2 linked regions of the Caenorhabditis elegans genome follow. The protein of the gene in region 2 interacts with the protein of the main gene of each other region in a pairwise test. Each region holds a gene or a part of one and is shown on either strand. Other genes may lie near its edges.

Region 1 (16,990 bases), on a different chromosome or scaffold from region 2:
CAATGATTTTTATGAATCATTGGATATTTTTAGAAAAGCCTTTAAAAATTAAAAAAAAACAATTAATTCTCGAGTTGTGACGTTTTCGTCGCCTTTGTACTTTTTGTTCCACCTATTGTTCTTCTCCCATCCAACTTTAAAAAAAAGGTTTTAGAGTACATTCTTCTCAAGAGTACTTCTATATTCACTGTGAGCCCCTGATTTTACTTTCAACAAATTCAGAACTTTCATAAACATTTCTCATTATTTTTCTTTAATCTTGCATAATTGCTTAAATTTTTAGTACGCCTCAAAACTTTGTTTTTTGTTACTATATTTATCCGTTTGTGTTTAGTTGTTTGTTGTTCAAACTGTTCCTGTTAGTTTTATTTTATAAAATCTCTCAGACTTGATGCTAAATTCCGGTTTTTCAAAAAATAATATGATAATAACAAAAATTCGGAATTCCAAAACCCAAAAGTTCAAACTTACAAAATATCAAGATTCCAAAAAAATATTTTCCATCCGCTTTTCTTAATTCTAGAATAGAATACTAAAAGAATCATTTGAAAACATTTCAAGGCGTCTCTGTTTCTCTTTTTGTCCAAATGTCCATATACTTTATTTCCCATCTTTATATCAAAAATCTTTTACTACCCAAAAGTCGATTTTCTGTTGTCCAGCCCACTTTTCAGTCTTCAAACCTCATCTTTTACTGAATGTTCAATTTTTGTGAAATAAATGTACTTATTCAAGACCACCATTGTCCATCTGTGTGATTTAATGTCCGGTCGTTCTGGATTCCCATTTTGGCTTCATTTTGTTTTTGAGAACAAAAATTAAAGCATCGTTTTGAAGAAAAAAAACCTATAGGTCTCCCAGCTAAGTGAGGCGCGGACTTCACGATCGGGTTCCCTGCCGCACTATATATTCGGATACATGCACTGTGATTGACGCTGTGAGGCCGGCGCGGGCGCCGCTGTGGCGACCTCATAGGGGACCTGGTCCCTAAAAAATTAATTTATTGATTTAGAATTTTGAATTTAAACCTGACAATACAATCGAAAAACAATCCCTACTTTATAATGAGATGCAAATTTTGTGGAGCTAAGGTTCAATTTCTTATACTTAAAACAAAACAGTTCCAAAAAATCTGTATTCCAAAATAATTAACATTTAGTGATTATAATCAATATAGAAAATAAGCAGAGAATCACCAGAAAATATGGCCAACTAAGTGACAGAACACAACTGAAAGATAGATTTTTGAAGAAAAAAGTAACACAATTATTTTTGAGAGAAAAAGAAACAATTTTAGGTTTTTTATTATTTATTATCCAGTGAAAATGTCGTGGTCGGCTTGATAGCGTTGCACTTCGTTGAAAATTAGCTCTTTCCATTCAATAAGTGTCTTATCGGCAAAATCAATTTCCTGATCGTATCGATTTTCTGATGCGGGGGCGTTTACCTCATCGTCCTGTAAGATTTGAGATGCATGATTTGATTGTTTTTGTTTAGTGCTAAAATTGTTGTACCTTAAACCACAACTTAACATATGGATGATTCAGTGCATCTTCAACTGAATACCTTTCTTCAGGATTGATTTTCAACATATTGAACAGGAGATCACGAGCCACGTGTGCTGAAAATATGATTTATTTTTCAAAATCCTGTATAGCCTGACTCACGTGTCAAATGGACCCTTGGATTTTCAGTCTCCGGCAGAAAATTGGTATCAGGAACGATTTCACTGAATGCTCGTGCCTGATGACGTGGCAACGATCGAACATACATAGCAGCTGACTGACCCAATTGACTAATGAAATGATCATCTGGTGTTCCCAAAACACTATAAATTTTAGTCCATTGATCAATTCGATCTTTTCCAGGGAAAAGTACGGTATGGTTGATCATTTCAGCAAATATACATCCGACTGACCAAATATCTACTGCAATTATGAATTGAGAGTGTTGTTTGGAAGCGGCCGACACGTTTGGGGTTTTACGCGCACTTTACATGCGGATACGTACGGCGTGAGGCTGTTTGAGGCGGCTCACCGGAGCGCAGATGGAAGTCCAGCCCAAAATTACAAAAATTTTTTTTTTTTTCGAACAAACCTTTTTCCGAATAGGGAAGACCTAATATAACTTCGGGGGCTCTGTAGTATCTTGTCACCACATAATCTGACATTCTCATCGATGTGTCCACATTCTTCTTCCGGGCCAATCCAAAGTCTAAAACTTTTAATACACATCGATCGTTGACGACAATATTCGATGGTTTTAAGTCCTGAAACTTTGAATTTTTCAGAATGTTGTCTATAGTGGTAGATACGTACACGATGAATGACTCCCGAATTGTGAAGATGCTTGATTGCGCACAAACTCTGGTAGACGAAGAATGATAATGTTTTATGGTCCAATCTAATAATTCAGAAAATTTTTTTAGAATCTAATTATGTGTTTATATTCAATATTCAATCATTGAATCATTGAACAATCATGAATAGGAGCTCAAATGTGCAAGTGTTCTAAACTTTTTTAAAAATTCTGATTTTTGGTAGTTAACTAAAATCTTGACCAAAAATTTTCAAAACACGCTGGAATATTTTTTTTATTTTTTTACGCGTGTTCTGGTAGCTAACTGTGCGTGTTTTGATGATGGTTTCGGCACATTTCCAAGTGGGTACTCAAGGTTGGATAAAAATGTATTTCCGACCTTGGGAAACGCGAAAGACGGCAAAATTGAAAGTCTAGCTTTTGCCCTTGTTTCTTTCTTTTTTTAAAAGTTTTTTTTGTTGAAAAGTGTCAGCAATAAACTTATTATTATTGTTGAATATGTTTATTAAACGTGAAATTGAGACAAAAAAGGTTGATATTTTGGAGTCGTTCTGAGTTTATTAGAGCAAAAATGAATCCGCCACTCCTTCTTTAAGATATCGTGCTTTTCCTATTGTTTTATTTTTATTCTTTTGTTCTCAAAATCAATAACAGAAAAATAATATTTTACGTCTATTAGTCTCTAACAAGTCCATCATATACAGTTTAAATTACGTCTAGTATACTAGATATTACTATAAAAATTGGTATTACTGAAAAAAAATCATAAAAATCAGCCACCATGTCTCTTACCTTAATCGATGTATAACCTCGTGCAAATTGTGTGTCATTAATTCCATAACTAGATATACTTCTCGGAACGTTGAAAGTGAAGTGTCCGGTGTAAACGCGTTTAGTAGACGGATTATCTGAAATTTGGAGCATTTTTTCTAGATTCCAACTGAATCTTACATTTGGGTGTTTGATAGTCGTTAGCAGTATAAACTCTCGATATGCTCGCTTTGCGCTCATTGTCATCACAAATGGTTGTTGCATCTTCTTGATTGCCACACGTTGCGTTGTTACTAGGTCATCGGCCATTCTAAATGTAATCAATAAAAATTATGGCTGTTCACTTAACTTAGAAATTCTGTTTGAAGTCATTTGCGCGATAATTTAATTTCAGTCACTTTCATTCTTCTAGAAGATCTTCTTGATTATTGATTTTTTCAAGCTTTTTCAATCTTAGAGGTGGAGCAGCGGGCAATGACGAATAACAATGATCTCGAGACCTCTACCTGTTTTAAAAGTTTTTTGATAGGGCGGTCCGTTTTTTTTCGGGAAGTCATCATTGTGTCAGTGTTTGAAATTACGCAAAACCGAAGAAAAGTTAAAGTGTAAAAATATACAATTGAAAGGCAGTGAGACATTCAAAGATGGAGTACGACCAGAGAAAGGATTCTCTGAAACCAGCCATATGTTTCTAAAATGACTAAAATTCATAGTTCTTTCAAAAAATTTATTTTATCTTTTGGTATTTGAACATTATTGGGGCTATAATTTGCAGTAAAGTGTGAAATGTTTGAAAAAGTAAAAATTATTCGAAAATTTGGCAATCTATCAAATCTTTGATTAACATCTTTGAAGTGTTAATATTTGTTTGTCTATTGAAATTTTTTGTTTACTGCGTTAAAAAATTCGCCCTATTATTTTTCCTTCAATAAAATATTAATGTAATTAGTAAAAACTCACACGACAGTTCCTTGGGCGCCGGCATTCAGAAAACTAAGGTTTACATAACGAGTTGGAATAGTGAAAGTGCTGTCCGCGCCGGCTATCGGGTCCTGAAAATGAATTTGAATGGAGGTAAAGTATCTAGTAACAAACCCTAATTGTAACTTGATGAAATCTAGACGCATCATACTCGTTATGTACCGGCAGATCCACTTCCATCTTATTGTGCCTAAAAAGTTATTAGTTTCAGGGAGAAATACTTAAAATTCAAAAATTAAATATAAACGTTAGTCATTAAATTTCAGCTTTTCTTAAATTTTTAAAAGTATAATTTCAATTTCCAAATAAACGTTTGAAAAAATCTATAAAAATTTCATAATTCTTATCACTTGCAAAAATGTTTCTGATTTTCCTTTCCAACCGGAACTGATAAAAATGCCTTAAAATTGTTGAGTTTCATCAAAACTGAGTCATTTCAACCCACGTAGAAATCAATAAATCTTAAAAACGGAGATTCTAACAGTTTGGAAAATTATTTTCTTTCCAAATATTGACTTTCCATTTCTGGAGTGAAAAAAAATGAGGGAGGGGATATATGTACATATTGTTAGTGAAATACAGTTTTCATTTTTTGAAGTGCAAACTAAACCTGACAATGTTTAAAAAATAGACTAAAAATAGAAAGATATGTAGTTTAATAAATAATCTTTGCAGCTAATCTTTAAATGTTTAATCATAACTTTGGATTTGTAATAAAGAAGTCATTTTTTAACATTTAATGAAATTTCAGCGTTTTTGTTTGGGTTTTTATGTTTTTTAATCGACTCATAAACTCATATTTCATATTTGCATGACGCAAAAAATGTTCACACTTCAAAAATTTGACTTCAGTTGTGAATGATCTTACACTTTTTGCGCTTGGTTTTGAAAGGATGTTCGTATTTAGGAAACAAAAGTCAACACTAATTTCAATGGAAAATTTAAATATTTTAGGTATCAAGTTGACTGGAATGTAACATCCAATAGTGTGTTTCTTTTTTTTAAACCTTTATTATAGAAAAAATACGATCGTACAAAAATAAACAACGACGCAATGACACTCCACCGTTTCTAAACCCCGCCCAAGATTTCATTTGCACTGAAATGTGTCGGCCGCAGTGCAAATGAAATCGTGGGCGGGTCTCAGAAACAGCGGAGTGTCGTTGCGCCGTTGTTTATTTTTGGGCGATCGTATTTTTTCTATAATACTCTAATTACTTTTTTAGTGGGATCACCACCAGGCAGTGTACCTGACTCCCAGATCCGCAGTGCATAGCGCTTGAAGAACGGATCGTCCTTTAATCCTTTAATCCTTTTCTCACGAACTCTACAATAAATACACGGGTTACTCGAATGGTTTATTCTAGCAATAGTTCGAGTTCGGGGTAATTTTGAGGTATTTGCTGTTAATTATTAGTGAAATACATAATACTGCATCGAGATAATTGAAGTCTATTATTCTCAACAAGTAAAATTCAAACTAAAATTGTATTAAAAAAGCAGGGGAAATTTTTTATTTTTACTTAGATTCGAAAACTTGAAGAAAAAAGGCAGTATACCCAGCCTGCCAATTTTTACTTTTACACTTTAAAGACACTTTAGATTTTGTTTTTTTTAAATCATAAATAACCTTTTTAAAAAGTTATAATTAAAAATTAAATAGTACAGGAATGATCTATATACATATATATATATATAAGTTGACAATGCGAAAGAGAGAAATAGTGTAGGTATTAAAAGTTACGTCACTGAGTGAATGTTTGTGTGCGGAAGAGAAGCGATAGGCTGAAGCCAAATAGGAGATGCAGAGAAATAGAGATTTCATCCTTCAGAGAGAGACACACCTAGGATTGAAAATGTGTAGAGAAGTAGAGAATCAGACAGAAAAGAGACACCACTCTGTTTTGGAGAATAGAGTTGCCGTAGAACAAATCGACCGCCTATAATAAAAGCTTTGAAAGTAAATTCTATAAGAAATAAGTTTAATATGTACGTTTTAAGTTTTAAATATCTTTTTCTCAATTATTAACATTTATGACAACTCAAAGCGCTACCCAATTAACTTGGGCCATGAAATCTCGTAGGTGCCTAATCTCCCAAAGTCGTGGGTCCACATTCTGTGTGGTCTTTCCTGTGGGGTTTTTTGGTTGTTCTTTACAATTGTTAAATAATACTTGATTTTGTCTGTTTGTTTCTCTAATTCTTTTCAATCTCTGCATTATTCCTTAGATTTCCCATTTGTTAGTCATCGGAAGTGATAACTCGATGCTAAAATGAAACACAGAGATAGTGAGTTGGATAATTTTAAATTATAAGGTGAAGTAGTGGTTTTTTTGCCATAAATGACAGAATACAGTCCCAATTTACCAAATATAACTGTTAAAAAATCAAAAAATAATAATAAATTTTTTATGATTTTTTCAAAAAGGCCGATTTAAATTTGAATTCTCGCACAAATTAATGGCGTCATTCTCGACATTTTGTGTTTTACGGCCAAACTAATTGGTTTTTCTTTATTCTTACAATTAGTTTTATAATTTGAAACATAATTTTTCAATTTTTCAAACATTTTTCAAACTTGATAATTGCGAAGAAACTTACCGAAACTCTGAAATTGGCTTAATTATTCAAAATTAATCATACATTTTCTTTTAGTCTGAAAAATTGACAGACTGTATTTCAAATTATAAAACAAAGGAAAAATGAAGAAAAACCTATTAATATAGGCTGAAAACGCAAAAGTTTCGAAAATGACGTCACTCATTTGCGCGGGAGTTCAAATTTAATTCAGTCCTTTTTTTTAAATTTTTGTAAAATTAAGAAAAAAATCATTAAAAAATTAGAAAAATTTCATACATTTTCTACATTTTTTAACAGTTATATTTAGTATATTGGGTCTCTATTCTGTCATTTATGGCAAAAAACTTACAGACGCTACTCCACCTTTAAATTTGGAACTTCTATGTATATTCTTTGAACACTTACCCAATAACCACAATCATCTCGTTTTCTTCCGAGAATTGTGAAATATTTTCGTAACAAAAATAATAGAATACTGTTTTTATGAAATTTACTTCTAGAATCCAATTTTTGGATGAAGGAGACAATTTTGTAAAGATGCACACAAATCGAATTAGTGTACTGTACAAAAGATGTTCTATATTACTTTTTTCACTGATCAAACAATAATAAATTTCATTGGAAAAATAGTTTTGAATTTGAATTTTTGTCTATCCTAACTACCTTTTTGAACAATTCTTCAACGCAAAAAAGTTTGTATCTATTTAAAAAATAAAAACTTCTTCTCAAGAAAATTATACATAGAAATAAAAAAATAGTTCCTTGAAAGAGAGATGAAAGTACAATGTGGTAAACAGCAGTTATTCGTGTTTTTTTTCTGAGAATGGACGCGTGTGCTGAAATATCAGAGAACATTAGGAAAAGTGGCCAAATTTTATCATTTTCCTGAAAACATCAAAAATAATTTAAACTTCTGGAATACCACAAAGAAAACGAGAAAAAATTGGGTAAGAATGTAAATTCATTGTCGAAAAACGTGATTTTTCAATGGCAGGGTTCTCTGTTACACGTTTGAACTTTCGAGCCAATCAGCGTCTTCAAACTCCACACAATCCGTCCGATTGGTCTTGCATTTCTTCTTTTGGAGGAAATTCAAACAGGCAGCTTTGCCGAAGTGAACATGTCCCTTTTTTTTAAAGTAAAACGTTCAATTCAGGGGTGTGCGGCAAACGGCGAACGGCAAATGTCGTTTGCCGAACGAAAATTAAGGTTCGGCGAACGGCGAATGCCGTTCGCCGAAAAAATTTTCGGTTAAAAGATCGGCGAATGCCGAAAAATTTTCGTCATTTTTCGGCATTTGTGAAAAATGTTTTTTTAAAGTTAATCGAATATATATTCAAGTTTTTCACATTCATCCGTTGAAACATTAATGTACAAACATTGTAGTCATACCCTTAAAAATTGCTTTCTGCAAACAATCAGGGGACATCTCTGTGTCTCTTGTATCCGAACACTCCCAAGTCACCTGTATTTCTAACACTTCCCAAAAATCAACATATTTGAGTTAGTAGCCATATTCTTTTTGTCGACACATCGTCACCCCACCATAAAACCCTCGAAGATGTTGTCTATGGCTGTCCACGTGTACAATTGTTTTGAATCATTCTCTCCTCTGGGATCCTTTTTTGGTTATCTCAACAGTCTGGTTGGTTAAATATGAAATTGATCTTTGCTTGAAAATTTAAACCAAGACACTCCTTATCAAACTTTGGAATTGAACTATTTAGATTTAGAAAATGCAAGAACAAACAACAAAACATCAAAAATTTTAAAAATGCCGAAAAGTGCCGAAAAAACTGGGTTTTTCGGCAAACGGCGAATGCCGATCGCCGAAAAAAATTATAAGTCTGCGAACGGCGAATGCCGTTCGCCGAAAAATGTTAGAGGTTCGGCAAACGGCAAAAGCCGTTTGCCGAAAAAAAAAATTAAGGTTCGCCGAAAAATCCGGATGCCGCACAGCCCTGACCTTCTTGACTTTTTAAGCTTTGTTTTTTGTCCTTTCTGAATTTCTGACTTTTGTGGGTATACCCAGAAATGAAGCATGTTCTAATAAGACCAGTCAGTCAACAAAGACTAAGTATATAACTATATAGTTTTAACAACCGGGTATTATAACTATATAACTATACCAGCCGTGGACCGCACCTCGGCTCCCGGCTTCTCTGGCTGAAAACTATTTTTTTCTGAAACTACCGTAAACTTACAGTACTCTTATCGTACCACTACGGTACCCCGATTATATCCCTACATTAAACCCAATTCACTATCAAAGACTTCATAGACTAAAAACTATGGACACACGGAATAAGTTTTAAATACATATAGAAAATAATAATACTTAGTTTCTGTTGATTGACTGGTTTTTTAGAACATACTCCATTTTCTATTTCTGCCGCTCAGCTACCCATTATTTTGCGAGCAAATTTGTTCTATTCAATTACTTTTTCAAGTGCTCCAAAAGCTGAGGCCTCGATCTCCCATGAGATACGTAAACACCGCAGCGGAAACTTGCAGGAATTAATATCATCACGGCCCGGCAAAGGGTACATCAGTGTAAATGCCCTCTACCGGACACAAAGCATAACCTCCTGGTTCAAACAGAAGGTATGGAAAAAATTCACCTACGAAAATTATATAACTTTTTTTTTGGTCATTTCGTCTTCCAAATTTTAAAAAACTAAGGTGACGTTTTTGAGAAAAATGCATAAACGCAGCCAGTGGTACGGTAGACAAATTGCGTACAGGTACCACTTCTCGGGCCGTGATCAAATTCAAACTGACACTATCACTGATATTACGTAGTTTTTCGAAGTCCTGCAAAAAAAACTAGTGGCGTCATGCTATCAAAGCACATGTTGCAACGACTTTAAGATGATAAATTAAAAAATTTGGTTGATATGTTCCTTTAATTTTTTATATCCTCTAAGAATTTTTGTACAAAAGTCGAGTTTCAGAATTTTAGTATGGTGCTTCTAACACTTCGAGAGATGACAACTTGGTTTGACATTACATTGTTCGAATTATGGGTTCATTTTGCAGCAATTATCGTATCTTCGGTCATGTTGGTATGTTGAAAAAAAGCTTACGAAAGTAAACCATTTTGAATATTATTTTTCAGTTATAAATAAGTTCATCTAAAACAGTTATAATTTCAGTGTCTAAAACTGCACGAAACAGTATCAATCTCATATATGTGGGTGGCATCTCCTTTGTTCGTTGGACTTGCATTTTCTTATTTTTTCGTATTCATCATTTATCTTCGATCATGTGTCGAATTTAAGGATTATAGAGGTCCTACTGTTAGGTAAGTTTTGAACCTGTTTTTAATTTAAAATTTTCATTTGTGTTTGATGAAATATATAAACAACTGTTGGCAAACCTGGAGTCGCGGTTTTGCAATTTTTGCACCAAAGAGAACTTGTCGTTAAATGTAGAAACGTGTACCTTTATTAAATATTTAGTACTGAAATTTCAAAATTCCTCTGCTGCTGAATTTTGATCGATTTTCATAAGAAATCAATGGAAATTTTTCAAAAATTGAAGTTTGAAATTACAGAACTCACTTAAAGGCGCACAATTTTTTCGCATTTATGGTTTCGAGATCAGGTACCGTATGCCTGGAGCAAAAATCAAAATTTTGGAGTTCGAGTTAAATGCCTGAAATAACCTTCTTTTTACAACTCTAACGCAGAAAAACTGTCTCTGTTTTGCATTTTTCTGAAACTTTTCTGGTACCTAAAGACGTTTAGATTAGTTTAAATAGTTCTCACAGCAATAAATTTTTTAAATATTGGCTTAATTCAAGATTCTTGTGGTCTTTCCAAAAATGGTTTTACAACTCTGAAACTCTTATTAAAATGAAGCGGCCGCCGGAAAGATCGTGGCGAGACCAGTCCGTAGGAATACATAACTGCGAAATTATAGCCCGTTGAACGCAAATTACGTGTTCCTACTTGCGACAGACCAAATGCGAATCATCTGTGAAAACAGAAAATTCAAAATTGAACATGCAATATATATTTTTTTTTCAGAGTAATTCTCAACATATTCCGTCTCACATGCATCACGCTCTTCATATACTTCATCGTTGAAAAAATCAGTGGAGAGTTGGAGAAATCAGAAGTTGCAAATCGGAATACGTATGGGATGGTTTTTTTGCCAATGTGGCTTCTCCTGGCTTCGTGGGGATTTCAAATGTGTCGGGCAACAAATAACTAGTTTAACTGCTCATTCTTCTCATTTCCTATCATTTTCTGTACATTATTGTTGTTTTTTCCTATTTTCAACGGGTTTCCAAAAGAAATACAAATAAATACCATCTGAAACGTCATCCGTGTATAACCTAAATAAAACATGTGACAAATTTCATATAAACGCGATTTAAAGGAGAAAAAAGATTGGAGCGAAAAAAAATTGAGATCAAAAATGAAAATGAAATACTCGAATACTACAAAACCTGCAAAAATAATTAAATTCGTATACAAGAAAATCTAGAAACTAGATCGATTTGAAGACGATGCCAACGAATTTTTGGGCGGCGCATTCAACACGCGGTCCACGTCATCGTCGATATGAAGTGGTGATGATGACGTCACATGTTCTGACGTGGCATGTGGTGATGATGTGGATGACGATGGAAACTCGTGGAGACTTGGAGCATTTGAGAGGTTTTCTGAATTTTCACAATTATGTTTTTTAAGTGCTATTCAATAATTTAAACTTTGGGAGCAATTGAATTGACATTTTAATCAAACAGAATTTCAAGCTTTTTCTAATGCAATTTCCATATTGCAATTCCCTCGACGTACCTCTTTCAGAATCACTTCCACCATCTCGTTCCCATACAGCATCTAAATCGACTTCAGTGTGTAACGTAGAACTAACTGGAGGCATTCTTTCCTGAACGAAAAAATTAATTATTAAAACTCCAAATCGATTTGGTTTTTTGCTCGAATTTTATTAAAATTTGAAAACAAAATAAAAGTTCGGTTTTGTATTATACGAAAATCGAAAAGCTTAGTTATTCAGAATTTTTTTCTCTCGCGGATTTTTAAAATCCACACCACGATGAATCTGAAATTTATACCTACATTAATTTTTTTTTGAAAGAAATTTTCGATTATCCCGGAAAACATTGCAAATTTCTGATTTCAAAAGCAGAGTTTTCCGCTTTTTCGGAGAATTTTTGAATTTCGATTCATCGAATCGTGGCGTTGATTTTTAAAAACAAAATTGATATTTTTGAAGTGTTTTTTCTCAACATTCTCACCACAACTTCCAACATTTCAAATTCAGTTCCATAATCTTCCTCTTCACTTTCAACATCCACGTCATCATCCTCTATTATCGGTCTTGCAGTTTGATATGATTTTATTTCACTGAAAACGCCAGAAACTAGATTTTTTTGTTCAAAATTCCATCCAAAGTCCATTACCCAATTTTAAAAATTCCCCGCTCAGCAGCAATTTTCGCGAAATCTTCCGTCTGTTTATTCTCCAAATACTCTCGAATTGCCATTTTTTCCTGGAATGCCGCCTCGTCGTTCTGAAAATTTTGAGTTTTTGTGTGTATAAAACATGGAAACAGAAAATTATTTATTCGGGGCGAATCAAATACAACTATACCAGTTTCAATGAAAAATGTGGGCTTGGAAGAAACATAATTTTTAAACTAAAAATGTAAAATTTGACATGGAATTTTACTTTTGAAATAAAATTTGGAAATTCGTTGGCTAAGACACAAAATTGATAGGGAAAATGTTTACATCAATAAGTATACTTTTGCCAAAATTCGCCTAGCAAATCAAACACTTTGAATCTGTAAAACTAGCTGAAGTTTTTTCATCGAAAATTTCATAAATATCACAAGAATGTAGATGTTTCACCTTATCATCAGTCAAATCATCACATGAATCACAATCCAAATACTCTTCATTTATGAACTCTCGTCGTGTCACAGAGGACAGTTTCAGTGGTAAACGACGCATCCAAAGTTGAAAATCACGACGAGAGATATCGACTGATGTAAGATCCACGTTTGCAGCGTCTTCTAACTGAAAAATTTAATAACTTTTTAATTGAAATTTGTGATGAACTATTTCCTAATTTTCCTAACAAGAAGGAAAGGTTTCCATTTTATCGTCAGACTTCATTTCGATCTGGAATTGTTTCAGTGCCTGTTTTCACTACTTTGGAGGCCTGTAGAATTGCTCCAAATGCGTTTTTTTCAAACTTTAATGTTTTTTCAGAACGTTTAGAAGTAGGTGAACACTCTGGGAGATTTTTCAAAAATTTGTAATTTTTTGAAAAAAATCTGAAAGTTTCTTCACTCCACTTGATCCAAAAATGTTCAGATTTTCACAACAAAAAAAAGTCCAAAAATCTCCCAGAGTGTTCACCTACTTATAACCGTTCTGAAAAACATTGAACTTTGCAAAAAAACATTTAGAGCAATTCAACAGGTCTCCAAATTAGTGAAAAATGCACTGAAACAATTTCATATCGAAATTTTAAGGGTTGAGGGAAGAGCTTTTTTCAAAACATGGAATCACTTGTTGACACCCGAGACCGAATGGGAGAGTCAACCCATCGGGTGAAAACGACGTAGTCTGTTTCGAACCTCTCGCTCTTCATCCTTTCGCGCAGCACTCCGTTGATTCTCCTTATACGAGCATTTCTGATTAATTCTCAACTCAATTTTCAACTTCATCATTTGAATCGCAATCGCTGCAATATTCGTTGCATCATCCAATCCACTATGTTTATTTCCAACAAACGACAGATCCAGACGTTCTAACATGTTTTCAATTCCGGATTTCTGAAGAGAATTGAGGTTTTAATTAAAATTTGAACCTTAAAAACTTACTCCATTTCCCTTGATAAGTCCATTGAATTTCTCTTTGAATGTCTTTTTGATGTTGATAAAACTTCGGAACATATGGGGCATTCGAATATTCGATAAAAGGCATTGAAATTGCATGAATTTCCACATATCGTGAGGTCTGAATAGTTCGTTATGCACAACTTTGAAGTTTTAGTGAACAAAAAATCGTCTTCGATTCCTTACCCATCAGTAACAAATGCGAATCTGGAATTTTTCTGTCCGAGATTGAATTTTCGCATCCATGTGTACAGCCGTTGAAGAGCCTCTCGGAAATATGGAGCAGCATCGACTGTTTCTTGGGCAATTTCTACAACAGGGTTTACATTTTAAAAATGACATTAGTGTCTTACTGGTAAACTGCATACAAAATTCGCTGAGCTTCGGATTTCTGACAGGTCGGACATAGGTTCGAAACTCGCTGATCTGGAAATTAAATATGCTTATTTTGACGATGGATATTATAAAGTTATATATTTTTCGTTTTTTATTTATATTCCTAAAATAAATAAACAAAACAAAACAAAAAAAGCTTTCAGTTTAGTCAGTTTTTATAACTTGATAATACACCAAAGAACTTCCATCTGCCTTAAATTGAAAAATGGGAGAAGGATTTTTCTATTTTTTTCCAATATTTTCTTCACAAGCGAAACAAATTTTATAGCTAAATAAGAAACCCAAAAAAGACGAAAAATGTTGTATTTGAAACGTTTTTTGTTGAATACATTTTTATATTCCAGATTTCGATAGGATGACGAAACGTTTGTCACCTTTTCCCGGAAAAAATGATTTTCTTGCGGGAAAACACGAAAAAAAAAAATAAAATTCGAGCCGAAACCCCAGAGGAAAAATCCAAAATCAAGAATTTCAACTGAGAACTGTTCAATCCTTGTCCGCGGGGAGTACACGACATGCGTAATTCGACATATTCCATTTTCAAAGATGAAAAAATCCTACAATTTTCATTTCCCGAACGTCGATCAAAACTGCCGGTAATTCGATGATTTCGTGTGGGTAATCGTATATAATCTCGACGCACGTACACTCGAAATCAATTGCCTGAAATAATTAATAACTAAAGTATTTCTTTTCCAGAAATTCTGAAAATCATACAATTAAATAGTCAAAAAAGCGTGCAGTTTTATCGGCATTCGGCTCCATTTTTCGATTCAATAATGCATTTTCCTTTCGATAATATTGTGCAACCCGTTTTCGAAGAGTTTTCTTGTTTCCGCTGAAATTAGAGTTATAATTTAAGTTAATTTCGAAATTTTAGTAAGAAAATTACATTATTTCTTTTACGGATGACTATATTTAACGCAAAATGATTCAAAAAATGCTGTTTCTTTTTAACAAAACTATCAAAAATGAAGCAAAGCTATATCTTAAATGTACGAAATTGGGTTCTGTTAGGAAAATAAGAAGTTTGAATGAATTTAGCATAATTTTACCCTGTGGACACTTTAATCTTCATCAACGCTTGTTTTAGCTGTTCAGCAGTCATTGTATCCATTTGCCTTATCACTTTTTTCACGTATTCTGGTTCCACCATTGATTTTAAAGGCTCAACACGTTCGGAGGGTAAAAGTTGCTGTTCACGTGGAATATCGATTGATTTTTCAGATTCGTCGGTTCTGGTTTCAGCCGATTCCACTTCAACTGCTGTTTTTTCTGGTTCGTCATTCTGTTTTGCGTTACTTGCATCGAATTCTTGGCTGATTTTCAGCAAATCTCGTAGACTTTCCAGATATTTTTCGTCTTCTGGAGACGGCTCATCTGCGCTCATTTTTTAACTGAAATTTTAGAAAAACAATGTAAATTCGAATGCGCCTAGATTCTATGTATCGGAGAATATAATTTTTCTTTGGAATTATCACCAATTTCAATGTTACAAATCTAAATAATTAAACAAAAAATTGGTAAGTACAATTAATTTATGGGAGAATTGTGTTAAAGCCCATAGGATTAGTGATGACCCGCAATGTGAATTACAATTTCTGAGTAAGAAAACAGATGGAAGGGGATACATTCATAGGGAATTGCTATTTTTCACCCGGCAAAATATACATATATACGTGGAAAATCGGGAAGTTGAGAGCTATAATATGAATATACAAAATAATCGAACAATAGTTTGTTAAAAAACAAAACACTATACAGAAAGTGAATGATACTTTGAAGAGAAAACTTAAAACATTGAAATTATCTGAAAATTGGAGGGTCAGTAAGAAGAAAATCTTCTAAAAGTTTTGTTTTAGGTTTACAAATAAATAGCTTGATCAAAATTCGAATCCGAGAAGCTGTTTTCGGAAAAATGAGCAATTCTTGGGATTTTATCCTCTGGATGTAGCTCCGGGCACGTTTCACGACGCTCGATTTGCTGAAAAATTAACATTTTAATCACATAATAAAAAATAAAAAAGATTACTCACCACACGATGATTAGCTTCCAAATGTAGAAGCACATGATTGCGGGTCTTCTGAGTGTCTTTGCCAGTTTCTTTCACCATTTGTTCTCGAGTTTTCAGGGCTTTTGGATTTTTAGAAGAACCATTCGATTCTTCTACAACGTGCCCGAATCGCTCAAACGCTTCACCAAGAGTGTGTTCAAGATCGACTTCCTCTGCATTCGCTTGAACTCGTTGAAAATCCTCCGACTGCTCCAGTAACGCAATCTGTGCTTTAAAAACTTCGGCCTGTCCGGTTACATAATCAGCAAAGGAATTGTCCGATGGTACTTTGAATTGCTTCATAAACTCTTGTAATACACCTTGTCCATTAAGCAACTGGTCAACGAAGGCTTTTGCCTCTTGTTCAGCTATTTTCACTTCCTGAAAGTTAAATATTGAAAATACATTCAACATTTCCCGATAGTTTTTGATCTTACTAGGAGTTCTTATTTTTGGTGATCAGAGAGTTATGGGTCGAATGTTATATTTTCTGGAAGCTAATAAAACGAGCATATCGAATTCAAAATAAGAAATTTGCCCAAAGTGATGTTAAGGCAATATTTTCGACGTTGAAAGCGTATTTAAGCCAAAAAAGTCGTTGTTTTTGAAGCATGGACTTCAACGATACAAGAAAATAGTCACCTAACAGAATGTTAAGAACAATACGAAAATCATTATTTTAATAACGATAGCTAAATACTCAAAATATTTCTCTAAAAATCTGAATGAAAATTAATATAACTTACCACTGGCAACGAATGAATACGCAGGTTTTCAGCGAGGAAACATTATAATATTGATAATATAGAAATATAATTAGAAACTATAGCAATAGGAATAATTATTAGAAAAATTACACCTAGGAAGGTGAGTAGATTGAGGGGTCCCGCATATAATATAAAAAGTTCACTTTCAATTCCAAAATTTAAAATTTCAAACCAAATTCACCGAATCAGTGTGATAATCCTGACGCAGCATGTTACCGGCCGTATTTGGATGGTATGATTCAT
Region 2 (15,378 bases):
AGATTTCCGTTCTAAAGATTTTTGTTTGGCTAAAACATTCATTAAAACTAATTAGTTTTCACACCTCATTTTTTAGCGCCTCAATTTCATCGACAAGTTGTGCCTTCCTCTTGCGTACTTTGGGAAGAGTCATCTTCTCCGTCTCCGATAGTCCATTTCGTTCTGAAATTATCAAAAGCGTTGAAATTTGCTTTAATACTCAAGTGTACAAACCTGAATACCGCGATGACATTTATCCCTTGTTTTTCCGCTGCATACACAGACTTCCTTTTTCAATGCTGAAAAATGAATTATTTTAAACGTTTTAAACTTTAAAACAATATCAACTCAAGAGAGAAAATGACAAATCAGGAAAAATACAAGCAAAGAAAAACTAATTGAAGAAAAAGAAAAACTCTTAAATGTCGTACAATGTGGTGTCTACTGTGCAACATCCCTCATAGTGTTTGCACACAATTGTCTACAGTACTCTATAACATAATTCTAGGACCTAGACTTTTTTCCTTTCTTGTGCGAGATGTCGTTTTCTGCCGGAGAAAGTAAGTTAAAGTTATACATATGAATATAAAATTGAAGACTTTCAACTTCAGGTTCTGCCGCAACGGGAGACCCTCAAGATTTCAATAAATTCTTTGGTGAAATTAACAGTCCATCCGAAGCTGCGAAAACAATCAAAGCAATACCTAAACCATCAGTCGCTCTCCCAGAATCTTCAGAATGTGCATCATATTGTGCTAGTTGGGTTAACGACCAGAGTTTTGAGATTTTACCGTATGTCACTTTGAAATATTGGTCCTCATCAGGGCTGTGCGGCAACCGGCAACCAAGTTGCCGAATTTTCGGCAACCAAAAGTTGCCGGTTGCCGAAATTTTTAGGGTTCGGAAACTTCGGCAATTGCCGGTTGCCGAAAATTTTTGGGTTCGGCAACTTCGGCAATTGCCGGTTGCTGCACAGCCCTAATCCTCATGAAATGAATAAGCTTTCCAGAACCGATGAAGAAAATAGGCAAACGGAATTCAGTTCCTCTCCACTTTCGGATAGTGTTCATAGTTGCCTAGGATTTAATCGAAAAAAGGAAAGAAAACGGAGGACGTCTGGAGATATTGAACAAACTGATAAGAGGAAGAGAACAGAAGGTTTCAATTTCACTTTAATTAGTTTTAAAAAAATTAAAGACATATTTCAGAACGACCTTCTGATAAAATAACATTTGCTTCTAATGTCTTCGACAACCTGGCTCGTGTTACTGCTGAGAGAGATAACCCAGAAAAACTATCGAAGTATAAGAATATTCCTGGAGTAGGGACAAGAGAGAATATTGATGAAGGAATAAGTGATATAAATCAGCCATCATCAAAAAGTAGTGGTCAGTTATAGACTGTCTGATTTAAAATCACTCTTATTTTCAGGTGTTAAATCGAAATACGTCGAAGTGATGTCATTGTTTCAGAAAAGTATACAAAAGTTCTCCATTATGAATCTTGATTAGTTAGTTTTATTTTGCGAAAATTCGATTTTTTAAAATCCTTTGCAAACAAATAATATTTTCAGCATGTACACATTTGACTGGAACCACTACTCGAAAAAGAACATTCAATATGTTGTGTTCACAAAGGTCTGCCAATCACACGCCCCAGGTCATTTTGTCGAGATGCTAAAGGAAGATTGTGTAATATTTCAATTTCGATCTCTTTTTGGCAATTATCATTCTCTTTATTCAGAGTTGCCGAGACTGTGGAAGTGCTGATTTGGCAGTTAAAGTTCGCCTTACAGTACCACTTGATTTGTCTGATATCCCGATACCATGCAGTGAAGATATACAGATCCACGTGTCATTTCTGGCTGACGATCTCTTGGAAAGACATATATCATCAAATGTGAATAGAAGTTCGAATAGAGATGATCTGGACTTTTCGAGAAGAACGTGTGAAAAGATGTACGATTTGTATCAAAAAATGATGAGAGGACAATCAAGTCGCATGTACACAGAATGGTTCGATAAGTGCAAAATTTTTGTGAAGGTTCGGAAAAAAAGTGTTCAGACTGAATTAATATAAATATGATTTGCAGAATTTTCTCTTCTCCAAGTCGCTTCATCTTTATCACGGAAATGTAATACGTCGAAAGATTGAAGAGAGTCAAACGTTGAATAAACGACGATGCTTCATCTTTGCACAAATTTTTGATCTCGAATAGTTTTTGTTTAAATTTTTTTATTTCTTTGGATCCTCTTGAATCTCAAAATCGACTGTGCCATTTTTTGTTGTTTTTTAATAAATTGTTTTGAAATATTTTATAGAATTAGATCATCATAAATACCAGCTTTGTTTAAATTTAGAAAAAAAAAATTTCAAGATTATAAAATGAAAGAAGTTATTCGCCGTCTTTCTTTTCCTGAATGATACGATATGACCCATTAATGCAGGTTAGCAGTCCCAGCGCAACTTTTCTTTGCAAAAACGCGGAAACATGATCAAGAGTGGGTCCTGCAGAAGTTGGAGAACCGAACATACGGTAGACACGATGCATCCGTTCCGCTTTCACTTCTCCGTTAGGTGCATGATTGGCCTGAAAATTGATTTTTTTATTCTTATATATTTTAAGTTTTACTTACAATGAAATTTCTAGTATATCCCCAATATTGTTCTAAAGCATCAACCATATCAGAATTCTCTTCCGGTTCCACATCTTCATCGTCTTCAAGGTCCGGTGTGCCTGGTCGAACGATGGAAATTCCACTTGGATTCCGGGTCAATGTCCACGTGTCGCTACTGATAATGGGATTCTGAGAATGAAATTATATGATAACTTAATAATTTTCTATTTTACCATGCAAATAAATCCTTGTTTAACCAGCCATTCCAATCGTTTTCTTGTCACAACCACTGACATTCCCATTTTCTCGACTACTTCAGCAGTTGTCCATGTTTCTTTTTCGAGGAACAAGAAGAGGAGAAGAGCGTACATATTTGGAATTGTTCGATCTACTTCAACTCCATCGATATTGATAGAAACCTCTACACATCTTTAAAAAGTTAAAATTCACATGATAATTCAACAAATGAAACTTACCCAACACTTCTTAACCATTCTAATTTTCTGTCGCGCTTCACGTCCAGATAAGTTTCTTGGTAAACGTCCATCGCAGCTTGCAATGGTTGAGGCATTAACTGAAATAATTTTTCATATTGTAACATTGTTGCAATATTCTCACCGCTTCTGTTTTTTCAGTTTCCAACTTTGGCCAATAATGACTTGAGATGATACATGCAGAAATTGGAATAATCGGAACATCATAATTTCCAGCGCTTCTTTCACTCATGTCTTCAAACTTTTTATCAATATCGAGACTATGAATAACGTCCCGAAGCATCACTTCACAATGTTGTAGCTCACTGTATTGGAATCTCAGTTTCAGCAAGTCCAGGTATCGCTTCTCGAATTCAGGCTAAAAAAGATATAGACTTCGTTGAAAACGAAAAGAGTACTTACATCTTTGTTGTCCGAACTCGAAAGTCGTTCAGCAAGAAGATTTCTATATTCTTTGACAAAAAGTTCTTTGGATCCATATACAGAGACAAGCATATTGAAGACGTCAACACCTTGATGCCCGGGTGCTCCATCACCTGAAAATAAGAATAACATTTTAATAACTTTTACTGAATTTGAGAGAATTGTCATTGAACTTCCGTGAGTTTTTATCTGTAATCACTAACCAACAGTAGCATCAGTTGGGTTAGGCATCCAGTTTTCCCATCCAAGCGTCTCCATATTTTCTGGCAAAAAATCATCGTTGACACCTTTCAGTTCTTCCTCGTCCATCATTGCCGATCGAACAGTTTTAGACTGTAAGCTCTTGAAAAGTGTTAGAAAACGTTTTTTTAGTACACGCTTACCATATCTTTTTCCAGTTCATTTTTCTTATTAGAAGTAATGTAACTGATAATTTGTTGTACAGTGTCAGGTCGCCTTCTGAAAAAAAAATTAAATATAATTAAACAATCAGGAAATAGCTTACTTCAAATATTCTCTGATAACTCCACAAACTTTATGCATAACCACGCAACTATTGTCCATTTCACGAAGAGATTCTACGCACGCCGCATAAGCTTTCAAAATGTCTTTTGTATCAACCGCTGAAATTTTAAATATTTAAGTTTTAAATAATTCCCCTCACCAACTTACATGCAACAAGAAGTTTTGTGTTAACTTGATCTATCAAGTAATTTGTGAAATCGACTCTCCCATGATTATTAGTTCTCAAAAGGCAATATTTCATTGTGATGAGACTGCGAAATTTTACTGGAAAATCTACGGCGATCATTTCATATGCCTACAAAAAATATTTTTTAGGTTCCAAATTTTTTTAAAAACTCACGTTTTTGGAAAGCATTTGGAAGACATCTTTGTAAATAGTGTCACTAATTAAATGGAATGCGTCTTGCATTGTTACTTGATCTGACCAAATCCTCAGACTCTCCATAATTTCTTGAAACATTGAACATCTCAGCTCATTGTCAAAAGCCGCTTTCTCGTGCATCACCAATGTTGCAGCAAGCTCGCGAATATACACTGAAAGTGCTGCGTTCATGTGACGATTTGCATTGAGAATTCCAGTTTTTCTGAAAATGTTATATATAATTTAGGAAGTCAGGCTTTACCCACAATTCATTGACAAAAGGATTAAAATCTTGAACATATTGCCCGCATATTTCTTTTTTTTCTGGTGTCCACAGCTCTTGGTTTAAATCGATTCCATGATCGATTTTTCGATGAGGAAGGTACATGGCAACTGAAAAATGTTATTGGAAACTGGGGCTGAATGAAAAAAAAATACGTCTGTAATTAGTGAAGTGCGACATAAAATAAGGTCTGAGAACTTTGATAACAACTTTCTGCATGGCCAGTGGGAAGATGAGCTCTGCAGCATCGCGAATATCCGGTTGACCAACGCCTTTTTCCAATGCAAACTGAAATTATTTTCCATTAGCTTGTTACACCTCTATTTTCTGACCGTTTTCCATAAGGAGAAGATTTTTCAGAGCATTTAATTGAGAATAAGGCTAATTTGTTCTTGATTGGATTTAAAAATTTTAAAACTCACCATCAGGCATTCTTGCTGTACTCGTTGCAGAACTGTCGTCATATCATAAACTTTTTCAATATTTTTTGCGTATTTTGCGTGATATATCAGAGCATCCCAGACTTCTTTTTTCTTTGAGACGCAAAATTGTCTGAAAACTGTCTTTACGGAACTCATTTTCAAAAATTCCATACCTGTACTTCATCGCAGCCTCTTTCGAAGTAGTCATTCTGTCAAAAATGGACATTTTCGAAATGGTTAAAATAATTTCAGCAAGGATACGAGAAGAGAACGATGACAAATGTGTGAGAAACTGTATATATTAAAGGATCATGCTTAAAACGAAGGTTGGGGTCTCGGAAACTACATTTCCACAAAAACCGCGAATAAATGTTCCTTTAAAAATTATACGAAAAAATGTTTGTTTCTTTTTTTTCACACGATTTTTCAGAGTATTTTCTTTCAAATTTCTGTCGATTCCACTTTTCCTCCGTCTTTTGAATGTTCCCATGAAAGAGACATAGACATTGGTTCAGTAGAGCGCATACTACGGGGCAGTCAGCGGCAATTATTTTTTATTGTAATTTTTGAACATTATCAATTTTCCCTGTTTTCAGACCAATAATGGTCAGGGTAAGAGCTGATTTACAATGTTTTAACCCCAGGGACTACCAGGTAATTTTTAAGTAGCAAAATAAATTAAAAATAATCGATTTTCAGGTGGAACTTTTGGATAAAGCGACAAAAAAGAACACAATCGTCCAACTAGGCACTGGTTCAGGAAAAACTTTCATTGCAGTTCTACTGCTGAAAGAATATGGAGTTCAATTGTTTGCACCATTGGATCAGGGTGGAAAACGAGCGTTTTTTGTTGTAGAGAAAGGTAATTTCGTCTATTAAAAATAAGCCAGCTGGCCAGTAAAGTGAATAATTGACAAAAAAAAACAAGATTTATTCTAAAACATCATTTTTTCCAGTAAACCTCGTTGAACAACAAGCTATCCACATCGAAGTTCACACAAGTTTCAAAGTTGGTCAGGTCCACGGACAGACAAGTAGTGGTTTATGGGACAGCAAAGAACAATGTGATCAGTTCATGAAGAGGCACCATGTGAGTGAGAATACGAAGCTGAACTATCGAGCATATATATTTCAGGTTGTTGTGATCACAGCTCAATGCCTTCTTGATTTGATTCGACATGCGTACTTGAAAATTGAAGACATGTGTGTTCTGATCTTTGACGAATGTCATCATGCTCTCGGTTCTCAACATCCATACAGAAGCATCATGGTCGATTATAAGTTATTGAAAAAGGGTAAGTATTGAGGAATTAATGGTGAAACTTCGAATTCGCTTCAAAATACGGAAATATTTTTTCAGACAAACCCGTCCCACGTGTATTAGGACTCACAGCCAGTCTTATCAAAGCGAAAGTTGCGCCGGAAAAACTAATGGAACAGTTAAAAAAGTTGGAATCTGCGATGGACAGTGTTATAGAGACAGCTAGTGATTTAGTCTCGGTATGATTTAAAAAAGACAAACAAAGACTTGTTTCCAATAAAACTAATTTAGCTCTCGAAATACGGTGCGAAACCCTATGAAGTTGTGATCATCTGCAAAGACTTTGAAATTGGGTGCCTGGGTATTCCGAATTTCGACACAGTTATAGAAATATTTGATGAAACTGTAGCCTTTGTGAACACCACAACAGAATTTCATCCAGATCTAGATTTGGATCCTCGTAGACCGATTAAAGATTCTCTCAAGACGACGCGAGCTGTTTTTCGTCAACTGGGACCTTGGGCGGCATGGCGAACGGCTCAAGTTTGGGAGAAAGAGTTGGGAAAAATTATAAAATCTCAAGTGCTACCGGATAAGACGTTGCGGTTTTTGAATATGGCAAAAACATCTATGATTACGATTAAAAGATTGTTGGAACCGGAGGTGCGTACCTAACAAGAGACGTTGGAAAATGGTACCTCGAAGTATCGTTATGGTATAGCAATTTTTCGACAAAAAAGTGTTATCATTCGAAAAAGTTCGTAACTCCCTACTCACCAAGAGAGCTACAAATCTTGAGCAAGATTTCAAATTGTAAGATTGTAGCTCAATTCATGGCTTTTTGAGAATTATGGGCTGAAGCTTGAATGCTATATGTTTTTTAAAAACAATTTACGAATATTTGGAAACACTTTTTTTAAGTTGAAAGTTTTTTCAAAAGGGGTGAAACTGCTCGGACGCAGCTGAATTTTTGGAATGATCCTCAATAACACTTTTAATCTAAAATTACTATTCTATATTGAACTCCAAGTTAGCATTTTCCAACTTCCAGTGTAAGCAATCAACTATTAATTACACCAATTTTTTCCAATTTAGATGAAGAAAATCAAAAGTATTGAAGCTCTCCGTCCATATGTTCCTCAACGTGTCATACGTCTTTTCGAAATCCTAGAAACTTTCAACCCCGAATTTCAAAAAGAACGAATGAAGTTAGAAAAAGCAGAACATTTATCAGCCATTATTTTTGTCGATCAACGGTACATTGCATATTCGTTACTTGTAGGTTTATATGAATGTTACGGTAATATATTGTAAATTTTCAGCTTATGATGCGTCATATTAAATCATGGGAGCCTAAGTTCAAGTTTGTGAACCCGGATTACGTCGTTGGAGCCAGCGGACGAAATTTGGCGAGTTCGGATAGTCAAGGATTACATAAACGACAAACTGAAGTAAATTTATGTTTAAATTATCATTGTCTAAATATAATTTTTAGGTTCTTCGCCGTTTCCATCGAAATGAAATCAATTGTCTTATCGCTACATCAGTGCTTGAAGAAGGTGTAGATGTTAAACAATGTAATCTTGTGATTAAATTTGATCGACCACTTGACATGAGATCATACGTTCAGTCAAAGGGAAGAGCTCGGCGAGCTGGATCAAGATATGTTATCACTGTTGAGGAGAAAGATACTGCGGCGTGTGATAGTGATTTGAAAGATTTCCAGCAAATAGAAAAAGTAATATTGGAATCTTCAGTTCAATTGTTTAAAAAATGATATTAAGATTCTTCTTAGCCGCCATCGTACAGTCAACAATCCTATTGAAGATGATTCGGATAGATTTGAAGAATTTGATGTTGATTCTCAAATGGAACCATATGTTGTTGAAAAAACTGGTGCAACATTGAAAATGTCAACTGCTATCGCATTAATTAATAGGTATATTAATAATTTCACTTTAGAAGTTTAATCCAACAGCTAAATACAAACAATTGGTAATCTTCCAGATATTGTTCGAAGCTTCCTTCCGATATCTTCACTCGTCTTGTTCCACACAATCAAATCATTCCAATTGAAGAGAATGGAGTGACCAAATACTGTGCAGAGCTTCTTCTTCCAATTAACTCACCGATCAAACATGCAATTGTGCTCAAAAATCCAATGCCAAATAAGAAGACTGCACAGATGGCAGTTGCACTTGAAGCATGTCGACAATTACATTTAGAAGGAGAACTCGATGATAATTTACTTCCAAAAGGAAGAGAGTCGATTGCCAAATTATTAGAACATATTGATGAGGAGCCGGATGAGTATGCACCTGGAATTGCTGCTAAAGTTGGATCATCAAAACGAAAGCAATTATATGACAAAAAGGTATTTTCGTATATTCGATTTTCTAAAAGTCGCTCAATTCAATGAAAATAATTTAATTATCGGAAAAGTAATAGTGATAATTAAGTAAAAATAATTAAAAATTTACAGATTGCTCGTGCTCTCAATGAATCCTTCGTGGAAGCAGATAAGGAATGTTTCATCTATGCATTCGAATTGGAACGTTTCCGGGAAGCCGAACTTACGTTGAACCCGAAAAGACGAAAGTTTGAAGATCCATTTAATTATGAATATTGCTTCGGATTTCTGAGCGCAAAAGAGATACCAAAGGTACATTTTTCTGTTTGATAGCTAATAATATTTATTTGTAGATCCCACCATTCCCAGTGTTTCTTCGACAAGGAAATATGAAAGTCCGATTGATTGTCGCACCGAAAAAGGTTTTCACCTGAAAATGAGCTTATCTATTTTTACAATTCCTAAATTTCAGACTACCGTAACCGCTGCTCAGCTTCAAGAGATTCAACTGTTCCATAATTATTTGTTCACACAAGTTCTTCAAATGTGTAAAACGGGAAATTTGGAATTCGATGGAACATCAAATGCACCATTGAACACGTTGATTGTTCCACTTAACAAGCGTATGTTCTACGTCATATTCAGATATTTCTTCAAAATTAAAGCATGTCTACTAAATTATAAGGATAATTTTTTCAAAAAAAAAAATTCTACAGTATAAAAATGAACTCAAGTTATAGGAAAAGATGATATGTCCTACACAATCAACATGAAATATGTATCGGAAGTAGTTGCAAACATGGAAAATATGCCACGTATTCCAAAAGATGAAGTTCGTCGTCAATACAAATTCAACGCTGAAGATTATAAGGATGCGATCGTAATGCCGTGGTATCGAAATCTGGAACAGCCTGTATTCTACTATGTTGCTGAAATTCTACCAGAATGGAGGCCGTCGTCGAAATTCCCGGATACGCACTTCGAAACGTTTAACGAGTATTTCATCAAGAAATATAAATTAGAGATTTATGATCAGAATCAAAGTTTATTGGATGTAGATTTCACATCTACGTAAGTTATTTTGTCAATCTTGTCCAAAAAGTCATAAATATTCATATTTAAATTTTTCAGTCGTCTTAACCTTCTTCAACCTCGAATTCAAAATCAACCACGTCGTTCAAGAACTGTGAGTAACTCCTCAACGTCAAATATTCCTCAAGCATCTGCTTCTGATTCAAAAGAGTCGAATACTTCCGTTCCACACTCTTCACAACGTCAGATCCTTGTACCGGAATTGATGGACATTCATCCTATCTCTGCGACTCTTTGGAATGTTATAGCAGCCCTGCCAAGTATTTTCTATCGTGTTAATCAGTTATTGTTGACTGATGAACTTCGAGAAACAATTTTGGTGAAAGCTTTTGGAAAAGAGAAAACTAAACTGGATGATAATGTTGAATGGAATTCTCTGGCATATGCAACCGAATATGAAGAGAAACAAACGATAATCGTTAAGAAAATTCAACAATTGAGAGATTTAAATCAAAAATCGATTGAAGATCAAGAAAGAGAGACGAGAGAAAATGATAAGATTGACGATGGTGAGGAGTTATTCAATATTGGAGTTTGGGATCCAGAAGAGGCAGTCAGAATTGGTGTAGAAATTAGTTCAAGAGATGATAGAATGGACGGTGAAGATCAGGATACTGTAGGACTAACACAAGGTAGAACATATTTGGTAAAACAATTTAATAATCATCTGAATTTCAGGACTTCATGATGGGAATATATCCGATGAAGACGATGAACTGCCGTTTGTAATGCATGATTACACAGCCAGGCTCACTTCTAACAGAAATGGAATTGGTGCATGGTCAGGATCTGAGTCTATTGTTCCAAGCGGATGGGGAGATTGGGATGGACCTGAACCAGATAATAGTCCCATGCCTTTCGTAAGTTTCAATTAGAAAACATTTACCATCTACGAAGAGTCTTTTCCAGCAAATTCTCGGTGGACCAGGTGGTTTGAATGTGCAGGCACTGATGGCTGATGTCGGAAGAGTTTTTGATCCATCTACTGCTTCGTCTTCCCTTTCTCAAACTGTACAAGAATCGACAGTTTCACCTCCAAAACAATTGACAAAAGAAGAAGAACAGTTTAAGAAACTTCAAAATGACTTGCTGAAACAAGCAAAAGAGCGACTTGAAGCTCTAGAAATGTCAGAAGATATGGAGAAACCGCGAAGATTGGAGGATACTGTGAATTTAGAAGATTATGGAGATGATCAAGAAAATCAAGAGGATGAGGTAAATAATAAATAATTTAAAAAATGAAAAAAAAAAATTTCAGAATACACCAACAAATTTCCCGAAAACCATAGATGAAGAAATTGAAGAGTTGTCAATTGGAGCCCGGAAAAAACAAGAAATAGACGACAATGCAGCTAAAACTGATGTACTCGAAAGGGAAAACTGTGAAGTTTTGCCAGTTGCTATAAATGAAAAGTCTCGTTCATTCTCTTTTGAAAAAGAAAGTAAAGCAATAAATGGACGACTTATAAGACAACGATCAGAGGAATACGTGTCACATATTGATTCAGATATTGGATTAGGAGTATCTCCATGTCTTTTGTTAACTGCTCTTACTACTTCCAATGCTGCAGATGGTAAGTTTTAACAAAAAATTGTTTTTGGATCGAAAAACAAAATAAAATTGAAATTGTAAAAAAACACGAAAAGTGTCAAAAAACAAAAATGTAGATTTTGGATTAATTTCGAAACCTTCAAATTTTTAGCTCAAAACAAAAAAATATTTGCAAAATAGGAAAGTATTTGAAATAAAAATGTGAAAATGAAGAAAAAATATTATCTATGAAAAAAAAATTATTAAAAACTTTCGTCAAAATTCCAAAAAAAAAATCGAGAAAATTTCTAGTTCTTCAAATGATCTGCGAAGTAAAATATATTATATTTAACCAGCCGTGGACCGCACCTCCGGCGCGGCCCCCGACTTCTGGGGCTGAAAACTAATTTTTCTGAAACTACCGTAACCCTACAGTATTCCTACCGTACCACTCTTGAGCCACTACAGCACCCCAACTATATCCCTACACTAACTCCAACTCACTATCCCCACAGAAGCCAAAACTTCACAGACTACATAGACTTCATAGACTACAAACTATGGACACACAGAATAAGCGCTTTATATATAGTAAATGATATAAATTTCAGGAATGTCATTAGAGAGATTCGAAACAATCGGAGACTCTTTCTTGAAGTTTGCTACTACCGATTATCTCTATCACACGTTGCTTGATCAACATGAAGGAAAATTGTCGTTTGCACGTAGTAAAGAAGTTTCAAATTGCAATTTGTATCGACTGGGCAAGAAATTGGGAATACCTCAATTGATTGTTGCAAATAAATTCGATGCTCACGATTCTTGGCTGCCACCATGGTGAGTTTTTTTTTTCAAATTGTGATTCTGTAGTCATATATCTTATTTTGTTCCAGCTATATTCCAACTTGCGACTTCAAAGCTCCTAACACTGATGATGCAGAAGAGAAAGATAATGAAATTGAACGAATTTTGGATGGACAAGTGATTGAAGAGAAACCTGAAAATAAAACTGGATGGGACATTGGTGGTGATGTCTCGAAAAGCACTACCGATGGAATAGAGACTATTACATTCCCAAAGGTAGTTAAAGTTTAATCTATAACGAATTATTAAAATCGTGATATTTCCAGCAAGCCCGTGTTGGTAATGATGATATCTCTCCACTTCCTTACAACTTGCTCACCCAACAGCATATTTCGGATAAATCAATCGCTGACGCAGTCGAAGCTTTGATCGGAGTACATTTGCTGACGTTGGGACCTAATCCAACGCTGAAGGTTTTTGTTTCGTTTTTGACGGATAAATTCTGATATTTTCAATTTTTAGGTGATGAATTGGATGGGACTGAAAGTAATTCAAAAAGATCAGAAGAGTGACGTACCTTCACCTCTTCTACGATTCATTGACACTCCGACCAATCCGAATGCTTCTCTAAATTTCTTGAACAATTTGTGGCAGCAATTCCAGTTTACACAATTGGAAGAGAAAATTGGGTTTGTTTTTATTTTTTTAATTGAGCTAGAAGTTCCAAAAATGCAATTCCTTCTACAGATATCGCTTCAAGGAACGTGCTTATCTTGTTCAAGCTTTCACACATGCTTCGTACATCAATAATCGTGTCACAGGATGCTATCAAAGATTAGAATTCCTCGGAGACGCTGTTCTCGACTATATGATCACCAGATATTTGTTTGAAGATTCTCGTCAATACAGTCCGGGTGTTCTCACTGATTTACGATCAGCTCTCGTCAATAATACAATTTTCGCGTCGTTAGCAGTGAAATTCGAGTTTCAAAAGGTTCCAAGTTTTCATTTTAACTTTAGTTAACATTTCTCATAACTTCAGCACTTCATCGCTATGTGCCCAGGGCTTTATCACATGATTGAGAAATTTGTTAAGCTGTGCTCGGAGCGCAATTTCGATACTAATTTCAATGCTGAGGTAGGGAAAGCTCTCACAAAAATTGTTGAAAATTGCAAAGGGAATTCGTTCATATTAAGTGAACAATTTATTAAAAACTGTAAAACTAATTTAAATTTTTAGATGTATATGGTGACTACTGAGGAAGAAATAGATGAAGGCCAAGAAGAGGATATTGAAGTTCCAAAAGCGATGGGTGACATATTTGAATCAGTAGCTGGCGCCATTTATCTCGACTCTGGACGTAATTTGGATACCACTTGGCAAGTGATTTTCCACATGATGCGCGGGACTATTGAATTGTGCTGTGCGAACCCACCAAGATCACCGATTCGAGAGCTTATGGAGTTCGAGCAGAGCAAAGTTCGATTCAGTAAAATGGAACGAATTCTCGAGAGTGGAAAAGTTCGAGTTACAGTCGAGGTTGTTAATAACATGAGATTCACTGGAATGGGAAGGAACTATCGAATCGCGAAAGCTACTGCTGCGAAAAGAGCTTTGAAGTGAGTTTTGATGGAAAATGCTCAAAGCTCCATAAATTAACACGTTTTGCAGATACCTCCATCAAATTGAGCAGCAAAGAAGACAAAGCCCATCATTAACAACTGTTTAAATTACCTCTTCACTTTCTGTGATATGCTAAGTATTAAGCTATGTGTTTCTAGGATCTATTGATCTGATTTTCCTAATTCTCCAATTTTTACTCGTTTCTATTGAATTTCATATGTATTCTGAAAATATACAGTTTTACTTGTTATCTTTTTTGTTTTTATTTTCGAACCAAAATTGGAACATCTTACTAAAAAATGGAAACTTTTCCTTTTTTTATCACTCGGCCGCCATTTATGAATTGCACACAAGAGGGGGTATACCTTAACATTATTTAAAGATTATTATTACACGGGCGAGAAATTTTGCGATGTTGTACCAAAAGTACGGTATCCGGTCTCGATACGACAAATGTTTATCAAATGCGAGAAGGTGTGTGGCTTTAAAGAGTACTGTAATTTCAAACATTCATTTCTGCAGAATTTTCTTTCACTTTTATCCTGTTTCTTTCATTTCGCAGCAACGAGATTTTGAAGTTACAGTACTCTTTAAAGGTGCACACCTTTTGGAACTTAATAAAAATATCGTGAGACCGTGTGCCGTGTTATAGGAGCAAAAATAGCAAAACTGACTATTAGCCACACCGATAAGAAGTCTGCATACTGTTTTTTTCCGGGCCAGATGCATGTAGGTTTCTGGTTTTAATTATAGGACCGCAAGTGATATTGAATGTTCCATATTTTCCATACCAATATTACAATAAGAAACATCGAATGAAAATATAGAAATCGGAGGCACAGAAAGTTTTGGGGAAAATGGAAACCATAATAGAATTGGAGGATTATGCCATGTGGCAAAATTGGGAATTTTTGAATGTTCAATTGAAACCAATAACACAAAAAGCGTTTGACAAAGAAAATGAGGAAGACGAGCTCCAGAGAGCTCAAATAAATATTAAATTGCACATTTTGAAATGGGGACTTAGAATGAAAGTTGTCAAGGAATGAGAGTTAAATTGGATGGGGTAATTGATATTCGAATGGGATGAGGGAAAACATGGGCAATAAAGTTTTAAAATCACAATGGAACACATAAACAAGGAAAACTGAAATATTGAGAAACTGATAATGAGAGGGAATATATGGTGATTATGTTTCAAGACGCTCGAGGAAGTTTGGCTCCTTGAAGAAGTCGGGAATCTGATCTTCCAATCGATTGATAACCTGCAAAAAGGGTAAGTTTGATTTTCTATTGGAATATGGCAAAACACAAAAGTTTAGAGCTTTCAAAATATTTGAGCACCAATTGAGAAACTCAAAAATTGCCACTCCTGCCTTGTGCACCTGTTTCATGCCTACATGTGCGCCTACCATTTCATGCAGACCTGCTCGTAGGCAACGCCCATCACATACCTACACGCGTGCCTACTGTCTTATTGTTAGAACTCTGTTATGAAGGCACTCCTACCTACCTTATAGATTGTTTTCTTCCATGATGGTTCAATATCTTTTCCCTGTTTGATTGCATCATGAAACTCACGAAGAGTCTCTTGAACCACAAATACAAGAC

Evidence for each region.
Region 1: the proteins of dcr-1 (region 2) and eri-1 interact in binary tests that used the Caenorhabditis elegans proteins (3 or more experiments, as listed by UniProt).

What each region holds. Positions count from the first base shown.
Region 1 is NC_003282.8:404,636-421,625, forward strand, and holds eri-1 (3'-5' exonuclease eri-1), read right to left. Parts: upstream 15,324-16,990; 5' UTR 15,317-15,323; coding exon 14,982-15,316; intron 14,765-14,981; coding exon 14,644-14,764; intron 14,590-14,643; coding exon 14,488-14,589; intron 13,957-14,487; coding exon 13,884-13,956; intron 13,841-13,883; coding exon 13,717-13,840; intron 13,652-13,716; coding exon 13,516-13,651; intron 13,468-13,515; coding exon 13,270-13,467; intron 12,704-13,269; coding exon 12,536-12,703; coding exon of another isoform or gene 12,446-12,535; exon of another isoform or gene 12,233-12,445; intron 12,196-12,232; coding exon 12,086-12,195; intron 12,030-12,085; coding exon 11,921-12,029; intron 11,551-11,920; coding exon 11,460-11,550; intron 11,324-11,459; coding exon 11,142-11,323; 3' UTR 11,000-11,141; downstream 1-10,999. Other genes in the region: kgb-1 (GLH-binding kinase 1), read right to left, coding at 1,313-1,456, 1,515-1,621, 1,668-1,928, 2,098-2,269, 2,319-2,403, 3,112-3,227, 3,271-3,400, 4,051-4,142 and 1 more; T07A9.12 (uncharacterized protein), read left to right, coding at 9,615-9,716, 9,807-9,955, 10,683-10,869; Phosphatidylinositol 3,4,5-trisphosphate 3-phosphatase and dual-specificity protein phosphatase daf-18, read right to left, coding at 15,791-15,910, 15,963-16,361, 16,929-16,990.
Region 2 is NC_003281.10:8,070,605-8,085,982, reverse strand, and holds dcr-1 (Death-promoting deoxyribonuclease), read left to right. Parts: upstream 1-5,701; 5' UTR 5,702-5,708; coding exon 5,709-5,759; intron 5,760-5,804; coding exon 5,805-5,967; intron 5,968-6,061; coding exon 6,062-6,195; intron 6,196-6,240; coding exon 6,241-6,400; intron 6,401-6,465; coding exon 6,466-6,605; intron 6,606-6,657; coding exon 6,658-7,029; intron 7,030-7,461; coding exon 7,462-7,644; intron 7,645-7,688; coding exon 7,689-7,817; intron 7,818-7,861; coding exon 7,862-8,104; intron 8,105-8,150; coding exon 8,151-8,305; intron 8,306-8,373; coding exon 8,374-8,740; intron 8,741-8,848; coding exon 8,849-9,028; intron 9,029-9,069; coding exon 9,070-9,138; intron 9,139-9,188; coding exon 9,189-9,339; intron 9,340-9,456; coding exon 9,457-9,787; intron 9,788-9,847; coding exon 9,848-10,440; intron 10,441-10,486; coding exon 10,487-10,668; intron 10,669-10,717; coding exon 10,718-11,023; intron 11,024-11,066; coding exon 11,067-11,382; intron 11,383-11,950; and 17 more. Other genes in the region: grp-1 (GTP exchange factor for ARFs 1), read right to left, coding at 65-162, 214-232; K06H7.7 (uncharacterized protein), read left to right, coding at 518-539, 591-771, 989-1,137, 1,188-1,367, 1,411-1,489, 1,553-1,670, 1,723-2,022, 2,072-2,197; apc-2 (Anaphase-promoting complex subunit 2), read right to left, coding at 2,375-2,569, 2,616-2,786, 2,831-3,026, 3,074-3,171, 3,216-3,449, 3,494-3,627, 3,718-3,856, 3,898-3,973 and 7 more; pros-1 (Homeobox protein prospero homolog 1), read right to left, coding at 14,958-15,032, 15,281-15,378. UniProt on the Caenorhabditis elegans protein: Component of the ERI/DICER complex which is involved in processing amplified double-stranded RNA (dsRNA) intermediates during small-RNA-mediated gene-silencing or RNA interference (RNAi). Involved in cleaving dsRNA in the RNAi pathway.